3 linked regions of the Xenopus tropicalis genome follow. The protein of the gene in region 1 binds, or shares a complex with, the protein of each later gene. Links are inferred from orthologs where the notes say so. Each region holds a gene or a part of one and is shown in the gene's direction. Other genes may lie near its edges.

Region 1 (7,536 bases):
TAGTACTAGGTGTCGTGAACGTTACTAGGTTGTGATATGGGCTATTACTATAGGCCAGGGGTGGGCAGACCTACAGGTCCAACAGAAATCCATGGGGGATCGACTGGTGGACCGCGATAGATGTATTGGCCACCCCTGCTATAGGCAGTAGGACTTCGTTGTATTAATATGGCTTTGTTTGGTAATACTGCACATTCAGATGGTCCCAAATAGTCACTGCTCAAAGGGTGAGTATGAAGGGGAATATTATAATAGGAGCCCCATTCATACTTACATGGGATAATGGAAATTTATCAAATCAAGCTTTCAGTGCAACGTCATAGCTTAAGGTCCCCATACACAGGCCGATTCTAGCTGCAGATATGGGTCCCTTAGACAGATTCGGCAGCTAATCGGCCCGTGTATGGGCACTACCGACGGGCCTGCCCGACCGATATCTGGCCTGAAATCGGGCAGATCTCGATTGGGCAGGTTAGAAAATCTGGTCGGATCGGGGACCGCATCAACCTGCCAATGCCATTTGCCCATCATTGTAATTCGATCGTTTGGCCCTTGGGCCAAATGATTGAATTACCCTGGATTCTCCCGATATCGCCCTCCCATAGGTGGGGATATCGGGAGAAGATCCGCTCGCTTGGCGGATCTTATAGTGTATGGGGAGTCTTAGAGTGGGCACCTTTGCCCCTTTCAAAATGAGCCTATCCCAGAAATGCTGTTTCCAAGGATTAGCCCCTAGGCATGATGGTCTCTGTAGTCTCATCTTCTCAATCGTAGGCACTTCATCTGCAGCCTGAGGATAAGAACTGCCTCGTTGCTCGTTCCAAATGTTTCCTAAAACTTGGGGATCCGGAATGTGCCCTGAAGGACGCAGAGACCTCTCTACAGATCGAAAAAGATTTCTTCAAGGTAACAGCAGCCTTTATTGATTTCTTTACGACTGATAATACATCTCATACCTATATAAAAACAACAATTTAACCCATCCATTTAGTTCACTTAAACATCTTCTGCTTTTCTGCAATAGCAATAAAAATCTACTCTCTGTATGCCCTGCCCAGTAAAATGGGTTGTTCACCTTCAAAATAACTTTTAGTATGATGTAGAGAGCGCTGTACTGAGACAATTTGCAATTGGTCTTCATTTTTTTATTGTTTGCCATTTAATTGTTTAGCAGCTCTCCAGTTTGGAATTTCAGCAGCCATCTGGTTGCTAGGGTCAAATTTAAACTAGATACCAGACAGTGGTTTGAAAGAGAGACAGGTATATGAATAGAGGAGGGCCTAGATAGGAGGATAAGTTACAGTAAAACTGTAGCCTCACAGACAGCGTTGGACTGGGTCGCTGGGCTACTGGGAAAAATCCCCGTGGGCCCCCGGCCCTAGTGGGATCCGATCACCCCCAGGGCGCTCCCACTGTCTCCCTCACCCCAAGCGCCACAGGTAAGTTTCTTTTAGGAGCACTCAAGGGTGTTGGGGGCCTCTGTGGGGGGGAAGGGGGGGGTGAAGGCGGCAGGGGCCATTGGAGGGTGCAGGGACCCCTGAGGCAGAAGCCCCGGTGGGCCCTGCATCCCCCAGTCTGACCCTGCTCACAGACCAATAGTTTTTGGCTGCTGGGGTCAGTGATCCCCATTTAAAAGCTGAAAAGAGTCAGAAGAGGAATAACTAAAAAACGAAGAAAATGAAGACCAATTGAAAAGTTGCTAAGAATAGGCCATTCTCTAACATACTAAAAGTTAACCTGAAGGTGAATCATTGTATGCTTGTATATATTGGATCTGTCCAGTATGCACGCTGTTGTTTAACTATAACTCCCAGCATGTAATGAGAAAGCTTACTGTAAGCAATGTGCTTTAATAGGTGTTACCCACTATTCTGCCATTTAATTCCACACTGTTTTTTTATTCACTTTTAGGGTCTTTACCAGAAGGCGGAGGCACTCTATTCTATGGGAGACTTTGAATTTGCCCTTGTGCATTACCACAGAGGGTACAAGCTGCGGCCAGAATTTCAGGGATTCCGCCTGGGGATTCAAAAGGCGCAGGAAGCAATAGAGAACTCTGTTGGAAGTGAGTCGTTTCTGGCTGTGCTGTCTTATCCAGTTTGTCCCTTGTATTTCACCATTTATGCATGTATGTATACAGATATATAGATACACTTGCATATATTCTTTTACTGATATTTCTCTTTTCCCCATAGCTCCTGCCAGTGTTAAACTTCAAAATAAAGCAGACTTGCAGTTCATAAGCAGACAGGAGGAGGTAAAATGCTTTCTTTGTACAATGGTTTCTATTTGATATATTGCCTGCCACAGACATTTAAATATGAAGTGAATATGGAATATGATGTAGCTTGGGAGAAAGAAATGTATGATCATCTCCCATGTTTATGTGTATGCCACAGTCTGTGTTATGTCCTCATAAAGGCCAGCCTGGCTTATAAGAAAGTTTTACTTTACCTTGAAAGGCTAGCTGGGACTTACCATGTTTACAGATTTCTTCCTCTGAAGTTACCCTAATAGCGGCCATACACAGGCAGATTGTTAGCTTTTTCGTCTCCTTCAGTCCGAGTTGGCAGCTTATCTGCCCATGTATGGGGCACTCCGGTGGGTCTACCCGACCTATTTCTGGCTGAAAATCAGGCAGAATTCAATTGGACAGGTTTAAAAATCTCTCAAGTGATGATCTCATCAGCTCATTGGGCCTGTATCCCTGACCTTGTGATTCGATCATTTGGCCAGAGGCTATTACAGGTGCCGGACCCCTTATCCGGAAACCCGTTATCCAGAAAGCTCCGAATTACGGAATGCCCATCTCCCATAGACTCCATTTTAATCAAATAATTCAGAATTTTAAAACTGATTTTCTTTTTCTATGTAGAAATAAAACAGAACCTTGTAATTGATTCCAACTAAGATATAAATAATCCTTATTGGATGCAAAACAATCCTATTGGGTTTAATTAATGTTTTATTGATTTTTTAGTACTCTTAAGGTATGGAGATCCAAATTACGGAAAGACCCCTTATCCGGAATACCCTTGGTCCCGAGCATTCTGGATAATGGGTCCTATACCTGTACAATGTGGATCGTTCAAGTTATGGCCCACTTAAGGTGGCCATACACAGGCAGATAACAGCTGCTGATTTGGGTCCTTCACACTGATTCGGCAGTTTATCTGCCCGTGTATGGGCACCCCCGATGGGCCTACCTGACCAACAACTGGCCTAAAATTGGGCAGATCTCAATCAGGCAGGCATTTTTCCTTCGGATCTAGGACCGCATCGGCTTGTTGATTGACTTGTTTGACCATTTGGCCACCTTAGGTGGGCATGAGAAGATCGGGAAAAGATCTGCTTGTTTGGCAACCTTGTCAAATGAGTAGATCACACCATGTATGGCCACCTTATATATGTTGTTGGGAGCCTTTGATGCCATTTGACCTCTGTTTATTAGCACTTAGATACCAGAGCTATTGTATTATTAATAGCTAACGTACTCTCCAAAGTGTACCCTACAGCCTTACCTAACTACCTCCACTGCTACAAAGAAGTATATATATATATATATAGTAATGGAGATAGAACTTTTTGCAAGAGCATGGTACTAGTACATGATACATGTTATTGAGGCTGAAATAAACACCAAAGGCTACATTGTTTATAATTTAATTTACTTCAGAGCAAGAAAGCTAAGCAGAAGGCTCAGGTGAAGGTGCAGAAGAAGGATACAAAACAGCAGAAGAAAGTAGATCCTGAGAGGAGCCAGAAGACAGCGCGCCAGCTCCTCGGAGAGCTGTACAGTGATAAGGAGTATCTGGAATCATTATTAAGGGATGAAGGTAGGTAGTTAAATGAATTTAGTATTCTTATTCAGGTGCCCTCATTATGATGTAAGCGCCTGCTTTAAAGGAGGAGAAACGCGCAAATCACTGGGTGTGCCAAATGTAAGGCTCCCCGTCCCCAGTGATTATAGGAAAAAAGAAGGAGCAGAAGAAGAGGATTGTGCCGTGGTGTTTACTGAAAAGTACCCAGGGCTGGTGCAGTTTTCTGCTAACAGAAACACCGGCTCAGGGTATCAGGGAAGTGATTAACATTTGGACTTTAAGGTGCCGATCTGTGGAGCAAGATGCTCTGAAAATCTGGCCAATTAAAGGTGCCCATACACGTTAAGTTTCGTTCGCTTGGCGAGATCGCCAAGCGAGCAGATCTTCACCCGATATCCCCACCTACGGGTGGGCAATATCGGGGAGCGTGTAGGCTAATTCAATCGTTTGGCCCTGGGGCCAAACCATCAAATTATATTGGCGGAAATGGGGCAGTCGGTTTGTGGTCCGCATCAACGAGCCGAATTTTCTAACCTGCCCGATTGATATCTGGCCAATTTCAGGCCAGATATCGGTCGGGCTGGCCCCTCGTTTCTGCCCCTACATGGGCCGATAAGCTGCTGAATCGGTCCAAGGGACCCATATCGACAGCTACAGTATGGGGACCTTTAGACTTTTTTACCTGACAATATCTTCTTGTATGGCTTCCTAGGATAATGTTTTATCAGACTGTTCTCTGATCCTATCGCAGTGTTGTCTGTTTGGACATGACTTTACTAATCTGAAATACTTAAAAGGTAGATCTAGGGGACAGTAGATAAAGCCCCTGGCTGCTGATGCATGCTATTGGCACATGTCAGGGACACCGGAAATAGCAGAGCTTGTGTAGTCCAGCAGCCGGACACTCAGATTAATGCAATCTTGCCATTAACATGTGTGGACAAATCACAAAACAAAGTTCTTAGGTTTCTTTTTCTGATATTTTTATTTCCATATTCCATCTATTTTTTTGTAATGACAAGCTATAAGGGTTCATTTAAATGCCCCACACAGGGTGCAGACAGGGGCGCACAAGTGCTTCCCAAATGAGAACCAAGGGGCGCAATTTTGCCCCCCAGGGATGGATAAATTCTATGCATCCATAGCTTAAAGGGGTCCTCCACCTAAAAACTTTTTTTTTTTTTGTATAGTGGAAGAAAGTGTAATTTCAAGCAACTAAGCAGTCTGGGCTGAAATAGAGCTTATATGTTCAGGTAACACCTGTGCTGCAAAACAGTAAAAGCAGTGATGATACTTGGTTTGACCACAAGATGGCACTATGTAGCCATATACATAAAGTGTTCATCAGAATTATTGTGTTATATCCAAGTATTTTCCAGCACAAGGCATTTTTTTATTGAAGGCAAAACAGTAAAGAAGAAACAAAACCCGTAAGCATAACCATACAAATATAACATTATATTCAATAAGGAATTATAGTGAATAACAGTTTTTCATCTAAAACATAGAAAGTTATCACCACAAACATTTCCCATCAACGAAAGAAAGTCACATGGTATTACCATACAATAAGGAACTTTATGGGTAAATCCATTTTAACTGCAGAATTATATCAGCATAAATTCAGCTAACTCAGTGGCAGTGGTGTAACAATAGTGCGCTGGGCCCACCCACAAAAGATTTTTGGAGGGGCCCATTGTGCACAGCAGCCCAGCCTTCCCTCCACCCACCCTGCATGTAACCCCTGCTCCCTGGCTGCTCATGCTGGGGTAGGTAAGGGAGCGGCTGGGGAGGGGGGCATTCTAAAAACTATTGAGGAAGCAGACCCTGTGATCCAGGCCCACGGGCCCCCTGGCCTATGCACAAATGACACTTGGGCAAAGTACAAAATACTGGTATAAAGAGCCCTATTTGGGAGTGCAAAGAATGACGCAGGCTTCTATATTATTATTATTATCATTATTTATATAGTGCCATCAATTTACGCAGTGCTTTACAGAATAGAGGGGTACAAAAGACATAACAGTTAACATATACATATAAACAATTCACAAAAATGGTTTGCAGTTACATTGGATGAGGATCAGAGACACTAGGGGGAGGGCCCTGCTCGCAAGAGCTTACATTCTAAAAGAATGTATGTTTCTGTATGGCATCCTCCATAATGTTCACATCATACAGGCAAAAGCAGCAGAGGATGCTGGGAGGAAGGCAGTGAGTCAAGTACGAGGCCCCCTTGCGTCCGTGCATATTGCGCTCTGCATCTCATCGCAGATATTGTCATTGTTCCAAAATCCAACGCAACCAATTAACAAGGATCATTCCAGTGCAGTCATAGGAACACCACTGTTGCTATGGGTTACTGGACAGCAACCCCTTTCCCTTTTATACTTCCCTTATTCATGCAGGTGTTTTGTGTCAGTAGCAGCTCTGAACAATCACCATCCTGTAGTACTTCTATGAAAGCTATTTCACAGCATAATGAAATATTAAAATGATGGTGTTTTTTGCACCATTTTTCAGTTGCCGTACACATTTTCCAGACCCTTGCACACTGCGCCGGGGCAGGAAAATACATAGAAACAATATGTTCAGCTTATCAGATCCTTGCAGAGCGGCTGCATCAAACGCTGAATGAGCCAATAGAGATCCAGTGACAGTGAGTCTGGCAGCACCTGGCACAGGGGTTTCTGGGAATGTGCAAAAAACAGCACGGGTTGTGATACAGACCCTTTATTGTAAATAACAGGAATGGGATAGGATCACTTAAAGTGACAACATTTTCCACATATGTATACAGCTCTGACCCCTTAGGGTGAAGACACACAGAGCTACTAGTAGCAGCTACTTGTTGTGGCTACTAAAACAGATAATGTTGATCATTTACTGATAATTGTCTCTACGTGTGTTTAGCAGAGGCAATTCTCAGTATTGTCTATGGCAGGGGATTTTCTAGAGTTTAGTAGCCGTGACAAGTAGCTGCTACTAAGTAGCTCTGTGTGTCTTCCCCCTTAGGCTGATGTTAGCAAGTTAGTCACCTGCGATAGATCATACAAAGTTTTGTCCTGCAGGCAACTTTGCGCAACTTCACAAAGCCAAAGTGATGCTTGGACCATTCGTATTGTTGCCAGTGGAAAGGCATCTTGGAGCGGTTAGTTGCCCGCGGTTCAGAGATCTATCACTGGTGACCAACTCACTCCGTGGGCCATCAGCCATCGGCCTTCACAGATTAACTTCTAGTATGATGTAGATAATCTGAGAAAATCTGCAATTCGTTTTCACTTTTTATTTTTTGTAGTTTTTCAGTTATGTAGCTTTTTGTTCGGTGGCTCTCCAGTTTGGAATTTCAGCAGCTATCCTGTTGCTAGGGTCTTGTTTACCTTAGCAACCAGGCAGTGGCTTGAATGAGAGACTGGAATAGGAGAAGGGGTGAATAGAAAGATAAGGAATAAAAAGTAACAATAATAATACAATTGGCAGCTTACAGAGCCCCATAGTGACGCTACTTATAATGGCAGCTGCGGTCTTAAACAAACAGAGAAAGCTTCTAGGGCTCTTTACTCAGGTATGGCAATGATTTCTGAAGAATAAATATAGTGTTCTAGGTGGCACTAATGTGGCTAATCTATTGGCAGTAAAATGACTTTCCTTCTCCTCTATAAAGCAGTTTATTCTTTCCCATATTCTTAAGTCTGTGGCCTTGTCTCTTTGCTGC
Region 2 (7,536 bases), on another chromosome or scaffold:
GGATGAGGCGCGGGTACGAGGGACAGGGAGTCCTTTACTTCTAGAAATATCCCTATATAGTAGGGATGCACCAAATCCACTTTTTTCGGATTCGGCCGAACCCCGAATCCTTGGTAAAAGATTCAGCCGAATATTGAACTGAATCTGAATGCTAATTAGATCATGGAAGGGTTAAAGGTTGTGCGGCAAAAACTTCCATGTTTACGTGACAAAAAAATCAGATGCTTTTTAGAATTCGGGTTTGGTTTGGCCAGGAGCATGGATTCGGCGGAATCCTGCTGAAAAAGGCAAAATCTTGGCCAAATCCCAAAACGAATCCATGATTCGAAGCATCCCTACTATATAGTATAGTTACTATAGTTCGTGTGCATTGAGCGCTGGGTATTTATGGTATGCTCTTTTACCTTCTGGTTGACAGACTGACCTTCAGCAGCAGGAAGAAGAAGTTACAAGAGAAAGAAGGGAAAGAGAGCGCACCCTTCAGAATTACAAAAAGCAAGCGGAAGAGAGACGTATTCATGCTGAGCGCGTGGAAAGAAGGGTAAGGTTTTGATTCCCTACCCCACCCAAAGAGCTTTACCCCATATCTCTCCCTCATAATGACTCTGCCAATCTCTGTGCCCAAACCCAGAGACACAAAGAATCTCCCAGGTTAGTGAATACTGTTCATCTGGGTGCAAGTTGCACTAAGCATGGAAGGCATGTGGGAGTGTGGGCACTTGTGTGCTACTCTGAGGGCAAGCGCCAGTTTCTAAATGTGATTGCTATTAATGCAGTATCTGTCTGACTCCTGAAACAATGTAGCAGAAGCCAACTGATTAATGTGAAGAAGCATACAAAGCATTGTGGGACTTTTTGGCTGGAGGACAGCTGACTATTGCTACATTGGTTCAAGTTGAGGCATTAAGTAAAGGGTTCTCTTGTGCCTTTCGCCCCCACCCCCAGCAATGCTGCTTGGTGCATGCTGAATAATGTCAAGGTAGGACATGCCAGGAACACCCAACTCTTTTCCATGTGAAATTTATCAGGGAGAGAGAAAAGCACAACTCTTGCACTATTCTAAGCACCACTTGGAGGTGACTGTGCATAGTGGGCAGAAATCATAGTGCCATGCACGTTTTGGTTTTGCTCCTTTCCACTTGTTGATAAATGAGACCATAGGCATGGCCCTGTCATCATGTTACTCTCTGTTATCCATTTTGGATCCTGGCTGTTCTGATGAAATGTGAAATTGTGATGCTTTTATAGGCTCAGCGAGTGGCCTTGCCTGGAGACGATGCTACAGTGGACACTCAACAGACGCCAAGTGGAGAAGATGAAGAAAAGGTGATACGCACCTTCCAGGAAGCCTTTCAGAGGATAAAGGAAGCCACTGGCGTGACAGATACTCAGGTGAGGGGGCTGTCAGTAATACGTGGTATATACCACAGTGCTCTCACGTTTCTCATTGAGATCAAAGCAATCCTGGGACATTAGCCATGTGACATACAATAGAGTGCCCTGGAGGCTGAATGCCTGGTTGGGACACGTGTCTTGCAGCACTACCGAGGTTTCACCCCATGTTCCCCCTATAACCCTGCAGGAGATTGTGAGGCGCTTCATAGCCCAGGGAGAAACTAGCAAACACTTGGAGGAACTAAAGATTGAGAATGAAAGGACACTGGTGAGGCTGAAAGAGCAGAAGGAGAAACTGGAGGAGGAATTCCGTAACCAGAAGTACTCTGGGGAAGCCAAATTGTCCAGGTATATATGTTTCCTTGTGACCACTGAGAGTGGTCTTATGTGGTCATGGAAATCCTCAGTCACATCATTGCATCTGCAGAAAGGTTTGCTAGCAGAGCTGTAGAACCATCTCACTTAATGCTTGTTTGGGCCATCATCCTGAACAGAGGGAACTATGTTCTATATTTAGCCATATGTGCTGGCCATACATGTAAAGAGCACAAGGTCACCAATGGAGCGGACCTGTTCCCAATATGCCCACCCCTGTGATTGCCCAGATTGCACCATTGAAGGCGCCCAAGCAAAATTTTCAGGACTGAATTGGCAGGTGGAGGTAGAATTTCTATTGTTTTTACCTCCATATCTGACAATTCAGCCCTGAACGTCAGTGGAGGGTAGGAACGATCGTTATTGCTACGTGTATGGCTGCTGAATTGGTCTGGAGTGGCTGACTGGGGTCTGTTGTTAATATAAGGCCTATGTGTATGGCCACCTTAAGGGTGAAGACACACAGAGCTACCAGTAGCAGCTACTTGTCAAGGCTACAAAAAAAGACAATGCTGATAATTTACTGATAATTGTCTCTTTGTGTGTTTTAGCAGAGGCAATTCTCAGTATTGTCTATGGCAGGGGATTTTCCAGCATTTAGTAGCCGTGACAAGTAGCTGCTACTAATTAGCTCCGTGTGTCTTCACCCTAACTGTAATGCCTAGAGCCACATAATATCTCTCATCATTTACTTTGTTCCATAATAGAGGGCAGCAGGATCTGGAAGAGCTGCAGAGTCACCTCCAGAAAGAAGAGAAAAGGTGTGAGAAAACCAAAGAGGAACTAGAACAAATGTCCAAAATTCTGAATGAGACCAAAGCTGGAGTGGAACATCTAGCAAGCAAAGTCAAGCACATCAAGGTGGTGAGTACTAGGTTGATGCAATACAGGAAATGTATTCAGTGCTGATTGGCTGCCATCCTACAGTGTACATTGCTGAGAGCTGCAGGTTTTCCTGAACAGCCTGGGAAAGCGGCCAACAGAAAGTGGAATGGCTGACTGGTGCCAGGGGAAATTTTTAGGGATGCATTGAGCTCCCGGTTTATTCCAGAATTCTCGGCACTCTTTGCATATTCCAGGACCCAAACTCTTTAGCCAGAGTCAGAACCTTTTAGACTCACATGACCTTACAGCTGTGGACTACTGACAATTTTTTTCACAACCTATGAATTTTTTTAAAGTTTTCCAAATCGGAGGCTGGTTAGCCTCCTTGCAGACCTGGACTGGGATTTAAAATAGGACCTGGTATTTTAAGTTCAGTTAGGCCCAAACCAGCCCGATAAATAGTGAGTGTCTATGGCACCTTAGAGCAGCCCCTCTGGCATTTGCCTGAACCCACAGATTGCCAGTCTGGGCCTGATTTTCAGTACACAGAGGCCCAAACAGCCCCCCATAGGCCCAATAAATAGTGACTGTCTATGGCATCTTACAGCAGCCCCTCTGGCATTTGCCTGAACCCACAGATTGCCAGTCTGGGCCTGATTTTCAGTACACAGAGGCCCAAACAGCCCCCCATAGGCCCAATGAATAGTGACTGTCTATGGCATCTTACAGCAGCCCCTCTGGCATTTGCCTGAACCCACAGATTGCCAGTCTGGGCCTGATTTTCAGTACACAGAGGCCCAAACAGCCCCCCATAGGCCCAATAAATAGTGAGTGTCTATGGCACCTTACAGCAGCCCCTCTGGCATTTGCCTGAACCCACAGATTGGCAGTCTGGGCCTGCTTCCTTGGTAGTGCTAAATTCCTGGAGACAGCCTGTACTAAAAGTCAAAGTTAGTTTTAGGCCCAAGAGCATCCTCGGAGCAGATTCCCAGGACTCTCGTGGGGAGCTGGGTATCATTCTTGGCTGCACAGTACAACCATATTATGATTAATCTCTTCACCATTTTAGCCAAAGGTCTATTTTCCTGCTCTGGATGGTTCTCCATTGTCAGATGAGCAAGTCCTTGACCTAATGGGCATCACTGAGGAGAAGTTGCAGAAGCTTCTGGAAGAGCTGGAGGGGCAGGATCTGGGACAGATTATCAAACAAATGGATGAAGAAGAGGTGAGTAAAAGAGAAAGTAATGGTTCTGAAGCGCACAGCCCACTGGGCCTGTGTTTTTTGCACCTTGCATGAGTAATGCGCCCTATGTGTAGGTAAGGAATGAACATTACTCCTATTGATTTTGGTGATTTCTAATGGCTTTGTGCATCATGAAGGGGGAGAGTACCATGGCTGGTACTTAACTGTTTGATGCTGGGAGTGCGCCTAAAGGGGCATAGATTTGCATTCATTTATGCGCTATATTATAATCCCAATATTCTCAGTTCCAGGCAAGCATTGAGGGCAAACTGCCAGCGCACAACATACGAATTTCCCTTCCAGCTCCATCCAAGCAGGACATGTTTGAAGGTAAGTGTTCCTGGCACTAACTTTAGCAATACAAAACCATTACAAAGCACATGGTTGGGTAGCTGGGAGGGGTAGTAGCGAACCAATTTAAAAAAAAAAAAAGCAGTCTGTACAAAATGTTCTTGATATCCATGTGTGTGTTTCTTTCACTGATTCGGTTATACCATGTGTGCAAGAGGGTGAACAGACATTTACTTTCACTTTTTAGGGCTGATTTGATAGTAATTGAGAATAAATGGGCAGAGGGTTCGGCATAGGTATATGGGTAGGAATTGCTGCATGGTTGGATTAGTGTAGGATTGGAACAGGCAGTGAGAAGTCTGATAGCTACAGGTATAGGGGATCTGGAAGACTGACACATAGCTGGTACAAGAGACCGGAAATCTGATAGTGGCAGAACTGGTACAGGGGACAGGGAGGCTGATAGCTGCATGGTTGGTACAGGGAACAGGGAGGCTGATAGCTGCATGGCTGTTACATGGAACAGGGAGGCTGATAGCTGTATTGTTGGTACAGGGGACAGGGAGGCTGATAGCTGCATGGTTCGTACAGGGAACAGGGAGGCTGATAGCTGCATGGTTGGTACATGGAACAGGGAGGCTGATAGCTGCATGGTTGGTACAGGGGACAGGGAGGCTGATAGCTGCATGGCTGGTACAGGGGACATGGAGGCTGATAGCTGCATGGTTGGTACAGGGGACAGGGAGGCTGATAGCTGCATGGTTGGTACAAAGGGCAGGGAGGCTGATAGCTGCATGGTTGGTACATGGAACAGGGAGGCTGATAGCTGCATGGTTGGTACAGGGGACAGGGAGGCTGATAGCTGCATGGCTGGTACAGGGGACAGGGAGGCTGATAGCTGCATGGTTGGTACAGGGGACAGGGAGGCCGATAGCTGTATGGTTGGTACAGGGGACAGGGAGGCTGATAGCTGCATGGTTGGTACAGAGGACAGGGAGGCTGATAGCTGCATGGCTGGTACATGGAACAGGGAGGCTGATAGCTGCATGGTTGGTACAGGGGACAGGGAGGCTGATAGCTGCATGGCTGGTACAGGGGACAGGGAGGCTGATAGCTGCATGGTTGGTACAGGGGACAGGGAGGCTGATAGCTGCATGGTTGGTACAAAGGGCAGGGAGGCTGATAGCTGCATGGCTGGTACATGGAACAGGGAGGCTGATAGCTGCATGGTTGGTACAGGGGACAGGGAGGCTGATAGCTGCATGGCTGGTACAGGGGACAGGGAGGCTGATAGCTGCATGGCTGGTACAGGGGACAGGGAGGCTGATAGCTGCATGGCTGGTACAGGGGACAGGGAGGCTGATAGCTGCATGGCTGGTACAGGGGACAGGGAGGCTGATAGCTGCATGGCTGGTACAGGGGACAGGGAGGCTGATAGCTGCATGGCTGGTACAGGGGACAGGGAGGCTGATAGCTGCATGGCTGGTACAGGGGACATGGAGGCTGATAGCTGCATGGTTGGTACAGGGGACAGGGAGGCTGATAGCTGCATGGCTGGTACAGGGGACAGGGAGGCTGATAGCTGCATGGCTGGTACAGGGGACAGGGAGGCTGATAGCTGCATGGCTGGTACAGGGGACAGGGAGGCTGATAGCTGCATGGCTGGTACAGGGGACAGGGAGGCTGATAGCTGCATGGCTGGTACAGGGGACATGGAGGCTGATAGCTGCATGGTTGGTACAGGGGACAGGGAGGCTGATAGCTGCATGGCTGGTACAGGGGACAGGGAGGCTGATAGCTGCATGGCTGGTAAAGGGGACAGGGAGGTGGGTAGGTGCAGGCGACAGGGAGGTTGGTAGCTGCATGGTGATTGACACCATTAGGGTTAGTATAGGGGACAGGGGACAGGGAGGTGGGTAGGAGCACATATTCTGACTAAAGTGGCATGCATTGTACAGGGCTTCAATGTCTCCACACAAGGGTGGGCTCAAAGAATGCAGGAAATGTATAACTTGGCATACAGAGGGCAGATACCCTTCCAGGTGTTGGCAGTAGGCAAATCACAGCACAGGATAGAATACCTTCTAAGTTCTACTTAGCAATTCGCTAAGAATATCTAACCCTGGAAGCCACTAGTCACTTCCTTCCATCCCGCTTCCTGTTACGATGACGTAAGCCTCCATTGTCTCCCTCACTGCAGATGAAGAGGACAGCGGAGAAGATGAAGGTGATGTGGTGACACGAGCAACCTTAAAGAGACAGTCCCAGCAAATCATTGAATCGAAAACAAAGAGGAGAACCCGCCCCAAGAAGAAAAAGGGCAAGCAGTGATGGACCCTCCTACCAACCCCTCACCGGTCTCTGTTCTACAGAGGCTCCCACCATTATCTCAGAGATACAAGCTCAGCTGTAGTGCTAGGCCCCAGCCTATCTGGGACACCCCTAACTGTATCTGTGCCCTCTTTATAACACCCAGAATTCCCTGTACTCATCATCTGATTCTAAATATCTTACATACATACAACAGGCTCAATCCTGCAAAGTGCCCCTTTAAAATTAAATAACCCTTTTCCCTTTGTCTTTATAATAAAATAATCTTGTGGTTCCTCCGTTAAAGTAGCAAACTTTTCTGTTTGTCCCAATTGCCTCCGGATTTGTACCTTTCTCTGTTTGCTCTGTTCCTCCGTGTGCATCCCCATTACATTCCAGATAGGACTTGGAGGCTTCGCACAGAACAGAGGGTCAGGGACTTGCATGTCGTGACGTTGGAGGGAGCAGCAGGATTGTGGGAACAGCGGGTGATGACGCCAACCAGAGATCTGTCTGACTGTGATTCTGTGACCTTTCTGTTTTGTGTGTTACAAATAAAAACACATTTCCCCAGAGCCTGCAGAACTGTACTGCCTCATTACCTCTGCCATCTTATTGTCCTATAAACCTTTCTTTATTGTCCCTGTAACTCCTTATTCCAGTAACCCCGCCCCTGAGTGCCTTATTGTCCTTGTAACTCCTTATTCCAGTAACCCCGCCCCTGAGTGCCTTATTGTCCCTGTAACTCCTTATTCCAGTAACCCCGCCCCTGAGTGCCTTATTGTCCCTGTAACTCCTTATTCCAGTAACCCCGCCCCTGAGTGCCTTATTGTCCCTGTAACTCCTTATTCCAGTAACCCCGCCCCTGAGTGCCTTATTGTCCCTGTAACTCCTTATTCCAGTAACCCCGCCCCTGAGTGCCTTATTGCCCCTGTAACTCCTTATTCCAGTAACCCCGCCCCTGAGTGCCTTATTGCCCCTGTAACTCCTTATTCCAGTAACCCCGCCCCTGAGTGCCTTATTGTCCCTGTAACTCCTTATTCCAGTAACCCCGCCCCTGAGTGCCTTATTGTCCCTGTAACTCCTTATTCCAGTAA
Region 3 (6,207 bases), on another chromosome or scaffold:
TGAATGGCTGCAGGGCTCTGCAAATGTCCTTGCAGCAAGTTGCCTGTAAAACAATATTCATTAAATGTACAGGATCCGTTATCCGTAAACCCATTATGCTGAAAGTTCCGAGTTAGGGAAAGGCCGTCTCCCATAGACTCCGTTATAAGCAAATAATTCTAATTTTTTAAAATGATTTCCTTTTTTCCTGTAATAATAAAACACTACCTTTTACTCGATCCCAACTATGATATAAGCAATCCTTATTGGAGGCAAAATGATTCTATTGGGTTTCTTCAATATTTCAATGATATTTTTAGCAGACTTAAGGTATGGAGATACAAATTATGGAAAGATCCCTTATCCAGAAAACCTCAGGTCCCAAGCATTCTGGATAATAGGTCCCATACCTGTACTTGCATCCAGGTGTTAGCTCCTGGGTTCCTTCAGGGCCCTGAGTCAACAGATGCAGCAAACTTGGGGTTAAAGAAATGCTTAGACAGCATTCACAGGCTGAATATCAGAACTGATGCCAGGCAGTCTGCAAATATATATTGGCGTAACTGTGGCAAAGTACACACGCATTTGCATCCATTTTGATAATTGGGGCGCATTTGTGCCGGATACAGTGCAAATGATGTGAAGTTGCATCTAATTCAAAGCCCACATTAGGCTTGCAGGATTCTTGGAAAAAGCAGTACATTGTGGGAAAACATGGCTATTGCATTCAAAGTATGGTTGAATTTTGACATGATCTGCTCAACTAAAATTTTGTTTCAGTATTACACTATATATCTTTAATTTGCAGTTAGTAAGAATGAAGTGGAGAGCCTCATCCGCCTTTATCATACTTTGGTGGGACGACCCATTGATCCTAATACAAGGCGTGGCATTGACCGAAACACTTTCAGAAATATCCTGCACAATACATTTGGCATGACAGATGATATGATCATGGACAGAGGTGGGAGACTTTTATCTGAGTGAATTTCAAAGAATCAGTTGTTGAATCTTTTGACATGGCCTTAACTTCTTTATCTTCTAGTGTTTCGAGGATTTGACAAAGATAATGACAGCTACATCAGTGTTACAGAATGGGTGGAAGGCCTGTCCGTATTTTTACGTGGGACTCTAGAAGAAAGGATAAAATGTAAGAAGTTTTTATATGATACATGGATACACAAGCTCATATATTGATACAGTATTTGCAGTATTGATCAAAATGTATTATCAGCATTTTACCTTTGTAACCAGCAGCACTGTGGGAAATATATCTCCTATTTTTCTTATTTACGGAACAGATTATTATAAACAATGGAGGCATATTAAGGCGGCTTCAGAGATCTTGGACATGCTGGAGGGTAAAAAGCCAGAGAGCCACATGTGACTCATTGGGCCCCCAATGGGACAGTCCTGTTTTAAACATATAAAAAATAAATACCATTACAAATCTCCCATTTAGAGATCTAAAGCCACAAACTTGTGTTAACCTGGATATAGCTAGTCTTATGCCCAACCCAACCCTTGATGGTATCTTCATACCCATGATCTGCGCCCCCCCCCCACAGGACATCTTTTTTTTGCGAGCAGCTGGAGGGCCCTGAGGGGGTGTGCACCCTCCACACCCCTGGTTGTTCCTCCACTGGCTATAGGCTAATCCACAAACACATTGTTACAGAGAAGCAATGGAAACACTGGAGAAGTGGATCTGAAGCGCATATACGCACTGTGTGCCCTCACCCTTGGAGACTGTGCCTTAAAAATCTTTGCCTTTACAATAATATGCAAAGTTTTTCCCTACACATCAAGCTGATTAGCTAGCTTTACTTAAAATAAACTGTGTATTTGCAGGGTGGCAAGTGAAAATATTTTACATTTTTTTGCTGTATTAAATTACTAAACTAAGAGTTGGGCAAAGCTTTTTCTAATATCTTCCTTTTACAAAATCGTGATCCCTTTTCATAGATTGTTTTGGTGTTTATGACCTGAATGGTGATGGCTATATCTCCAGAGAAGAGATGTTCCACATGTTAAAGAACAGCCTACTGAAGCAGCCAAGTGAGGAAGATCCTGATGAAGGTGTAAAGGACTTGGTTGAAATAGCATTAAAAAAGATGGTAAATGTCATTTCTAATATTCCAGCATATAAGCAACAGTCTGTGGATTCACTGACCAGTAGTTTCAGAGTGACTACTGACCACATAATTTAGTTTTTTTTTGTAACATATGCAATTAGTCAGTCCATTTTGTAAAATCCAGCTGCACATGCATAATACAACTTAAATGATTCACAGCCAATCAGCCCTTTGAATCTCTTCTGAAATGATTCCCCATCCAAGGACTGCATGCCCTATAAATTCTGATGGCAACCTGCAAAATAGGTTTTGTGTGATAAGTTCACAGTAAGTGTCCTGTATATGTAGCTTTTTTTTTTCCTTGTACTCTGCAACAGGCGAGAAAAAGAAGACTATTGTAATAACATCTATGGTTATGTTCATGTCTGGACTCACCCTGGCTTTTCAACTAAAGTGATGCCCAAACAGCCCCCACAGGCCCAATAAATAGTGGATGTCTATGGCAGTATATAGCATCTGCACTGACATATGTCAAGTTATACAGATTGTCAGTCTGGGCCTTTATTATCAGCAGACAGGCATTCAGGTAATCATTTAACCTGTGACTGATAAATTGCATTAAGTTGTGTGCTTAAATGCTTTGGAACCCTTAAACTACCAGCAGTCTGGGCCTGGCAGGAATTCCAGGGATCACCAAGTGCTGCCTGTCTATGGATCTTTATTAAAAGAAAAATGTAGTTCTTTAGCACAGAAAGCTAAAATTGTGTCTGATAATTTATCTCTCTATAAAGAATAAGGGTATAGCATATTCTGTGTGCACAACATGGGTTAGCTGCATTTATGGGGGAAGCTGCCATACTTATTACAATGCTGTGTAGGAAATATTACAGGAAGTAGGGCAAAAATTCTCCTCTTATATATGGAAATAAATGCTATTGCAATAAGGCATGTTGGAAAAGCAGTAATCCATCAGTTTTTTTTATAGGATTATGACCACGACAGCAAATTGTCCTATATGGATTTTGAAAAGGCTGTACAAGAAGAAAATCTTCTGCTAGAAGCATTTGGGCCTTGTCTTCCAGATAGCAAAGTAAGAAAATTCTCTGAACTCCTTATTTGTTTTATAGGGATAGACATATAGACATATGGACATATGTATAGACATATAGACATATGTATAGACAGCTAGGACAACCAATAAAGGAATAACCACATAAAAGAATATAACAGACAATTGGACACCTGTGTGATCAGCACAATGGACTTAACTTGTGTACTAGTGCAGTTTGACCTTTTAATGTGTGGCCAAATCTATGTGTCCAGTTTGACCCTTTTTTGCCAAGAAAGTTAAACCTACGTGCTGGTAGAAAAAGGCTCAAACTGCCATAAATGTATGTTTTAACAGCACTGACTTTTTTTTTAAAAGGTTGTCCCTAAGAGATCTTATGCCCTCCAGTTGTCTTAAATTATTAGAAAGTGTTAGTGATTTAGAATAAACAACCACTTTATAAAACCATGTGCAGTCTATTGCAGGATATATGGTTTCATATATGGACCTTCTCTTTCTCTTTCATGACCACAATTAGCTGTCAATAGTGTGCAGTTACCCATAGCAACCAATTAGCAATTAATTTTGATCAGTCTGGTTAAGGTGGCCATACACAGGCAGATTTCAGCTGCTGATTCAGGTCCTTCAGACTGATTCAGCAGCTTATCTTCCCGTGTATGGGCACCCCCAAAGGTCCTACCCGACCAATATCTGGCCTAAAATTGGCCAGATCTCAATCTTTAATTTTCCCATCAGATGGAGGACCACTGGCTCGTTGATGTGGTCCTCAGTCCAACTGCCCATATACCAATCTTTTTATTCAATAATTAGGGCCAAATGATCAAATTTGCCTGATGTTGCCAACCTTAGGTGGGCACACTGGGAGAAGATCCACTCGTTTGGTGACCTCGCAGGAGTTGTGTCAAACTGCCCATTTTTGCTAAGATTTGGTATTATAGTTTGGCCAATATACTGCCCAACCATTTGGGCATATATGTCCTGTCATTCTGCCCTCAAAACAATAATCCACGGTCCTGGTGGATTGAAGATTATTGTCCCTGACAAAAAAATTCCTTCGGTCAGGGTAAAAGAAGTGAAGAGCAGCAGCAGATAAAAAGTGGCAAAATTACAATTTTAAGCTAACTTAAATGTTAATTGAATTGACTATTCTAGGGCACTCACAGATTAAATGATTATTGCTTGGAAATGTGTTTATCCCAATGACAGAAGCCTGACCCACTAGTACTATTTAAGTCAATGGAGGGGCAAACCCAAGCATTATTGCACCCAGCAAAGTGAAAATTGCACAGGTGTCAAAATGTTGGGATTTATGCCATGTGCCATTGCTTGTAACTTTTCTAAAAAAATTTAAAGCGCTTTGTAAATTTTAACCCTTTTTTTCCTGTCACATAAATCATATATTATGTGGCAGAAACTATTTTATTTTGTGTACAGGATTTAATAGGATTACAAATAAAATTGTATTTCATAATTTAATTACAGTATCATCACTTTAACAGTGGTAAACTCTGCTGCCTGAATTTTGATATAGGCACTATGGGGGTTATTTAATAAAAGGCACTAAGTTTGCCCAGGAGCAGTAACCCATAGCTGCCAATCAGCAGGTAGAATTTACTGATCACCTGTTTAAAAGCAAACATCTTATTGGTTGCTACGGGTTACTGGTACTGGGCACAGTTAGTGCCTTTTATTACATATGGGGGGTATTTGTATTAGTTTTCTCTGTGTACACTGGTTTCCACCCATACGGGAAAAGTGAATTGGCTTCTAAAGAAATTAACCCTATATGCGTTGTGTAAGTGGGCTCTTTAAATTCAAGCTCCAAGGCCAAGGACTAGTGTGAATGAAAAATAACATCTGTATGAGTTACTTAACGATGGTGGTATTGGAAATAATAAAGGATAATTAATAATATTTTTTTTTTCTTCCAGTGCATTATGGCCTTTGAAAAACAAGCTTTTACAGAGATCAATGATATATAGAAATGATGTGCAAATAGTACTGCAATCACCTTGACTACGTACGGGAATGAATAGAGCTGGTCCATCAGAACTGGAAATGATCTGTACAGTGTACAACACATTCTCTGATACAAGCATCCCACAATTTACTAAAGTCTGTAAAAAAGGAACATGTATGTCCAATCTGCATCTGTGGTTGGACAGACTTCAGCTGTCTGAATATTACATAAGCTGGGGGGGCTGCACTGAAATCCAGTGACCACTCACACTTGTAAGACTGTATTCAGTTTATAAACTTTTAATGACATATTAAAGTGGACCTGTCACCCAGACATTAAAAGCTGTATAATAAAAGCCCTTTTCAAATTAAATGTGTAACCCAAAGTAATTTTTTTATTAACATATCCAAACCCATTATATAAGCATTTAAAAGTCCCAGCTGTCAGTCATATATTGCCTGACCTGCCTCTATAGGTGGCCATACACGTGGCGATCCGACGATGTTTCGTACGACCATCGGTCGCACGAAACATCGTAAGATCCGCCACACACCATTCAGGGCTGAATCGGCAGGTAAGGAGGTAGAAACAATAGGATTTCTACCTCCTTCTGCCGATTCAGCTCTGAAGGGAGAATTTTGGTCAGGCGCCTTCTATGGCGCCCGATCAAAATTTTCAAACTTGTCCGATCGGCGAGTCGTCCGATATCGGCAGCTTCCTGCGATATCGGTCGACTCGCCGACATGCCATACACGCACCGATTATCGTACGAAACGAGGTTTCGTACGATAATATCGGTGCGTGTATGGCCACCTTATGCCTTAGGCATAGGGGTGGGGCAGACAGATACTTTCAATTCAGAACTCCTTAGATGTCACTGCACTCCTCACATTCCCCCTCCCTCCTCACCATCTAATTGTGTAACCAGTGCATGGATATTGGTATCAGGTCCCCCCATACTGGCACAGAAACAAGATTTTAGCAGGATGCACAGCTTGCCTTAATAACAATGTCCACAAAATGGAGCCTGCCTATGTTCTGGAATTGTGAATTCCAGAGCTAAAGGAAACATGTTTAAAATAATTTATATAGTGTAACTGAAATTTATTTTGCTTGACAAATAC

Evidence for each region.
Region 2: ttc25 (region 1) and ccdc151 share a complex: the UniProt entries of both Homo sapiens proteins name them as parts of the outer dynein arm-docking complex. The link is inferred for Xenopus tropicalis from reciprocal best matches to the Homo sapiens genes ODAD4 and ODAD3.
Region 3: ttc25 (region 1) and efcab1 share a complex: the UniProt entries of both Homo sapiens proteins name them as parts of the outer dynein arm-docking complex. The link is inferred for Xenopus tropicalis from reciprocal best matches to the Homo sapiens genes ODAD4 and CLXN.

What each region holds. Positions count from the first base shown.
Region 1 is NC_030686.2:7,204,479-7,212,014, reverse strand, and holds part of ttc25 (tetratricopeptide repeat protein 25), read left to right. Parts: intron 1-774; coding exon 775-906; intron 907-1,911; coding exon 1,912-2,065; intron 2,066-2,195; coding exon 2,196-2,257; intron 2,258-3,676; coding exon 3,677-3,836; intron 3,837-7,536. UniProt on the Homo sapiens protein: Component of the outer dynein arm-docking complex (ODA-DC) that mediates outer dynein arms (ODA) binding onto the doublet microtubule. Plays an essential role for the assembly of ODA-DC and for the docking of ODA in ciliary axoneme.
Region 2 is NC_030679.2:139,189,402-139,196,937, reverse strand, and holds the end of ccdc151 (coiled-coil domain-containing protein 151), read left to right. Parts: coding exon 1-13; intron 14-418; coding exon 419-541; intron 542-1,248; coding exon 1,249-1,392; intron 1,393-1,582; coding exon 1,583-1,743; intron 1,744-2,477; coding exon 2,478-2,634; intron 2,635-3,664; coding exon 3,665-3,820; intron 3,821-4,083; coding exon 4,084-4,168; intron 4,169-6,329; coding exon 6,330-6,460; 3' UTR 6,461-7,014; downstream 7,015-7,536. UniProt on the Homo sapiens protein: Component of the outer dynein arm-docking complex (ODA-DC) that mediates outer dynein arms (ODA) binding onto the doublet microtubule. Involved in mediating assembly of both ODAs and their axonemal docking complex onto ciliary microtubules.
Region 3 is NC_030682.2:51,310,274-51,316,480, forward strand, and holds the end of efcab1 (EF-hand calcium-binding domain-containing protein 1), read left to right. Parts: intron 1-787; coding exon 788-943; intron 944-1,024; coding exon 1,025-1,129; intron 1,130-1,944; coding exon 1,945-2,096; intron 2,097-3,039; coding exon 3,040-3,144; intron 3,145-5,054; coding exon 5,055-5,105; 3' UTR 5,106-5,455; downstream 5,456-6,207. UniProt on the Homo sapiens protein: Component of the outer dynein arm-docking complex (ODA-DC) that mediates outer dynein arms (ODA) binding onto the doublet microtubule. Seems to regulate the assembly of both ODAs and their axonemal docking complex onto ciliary microtubules.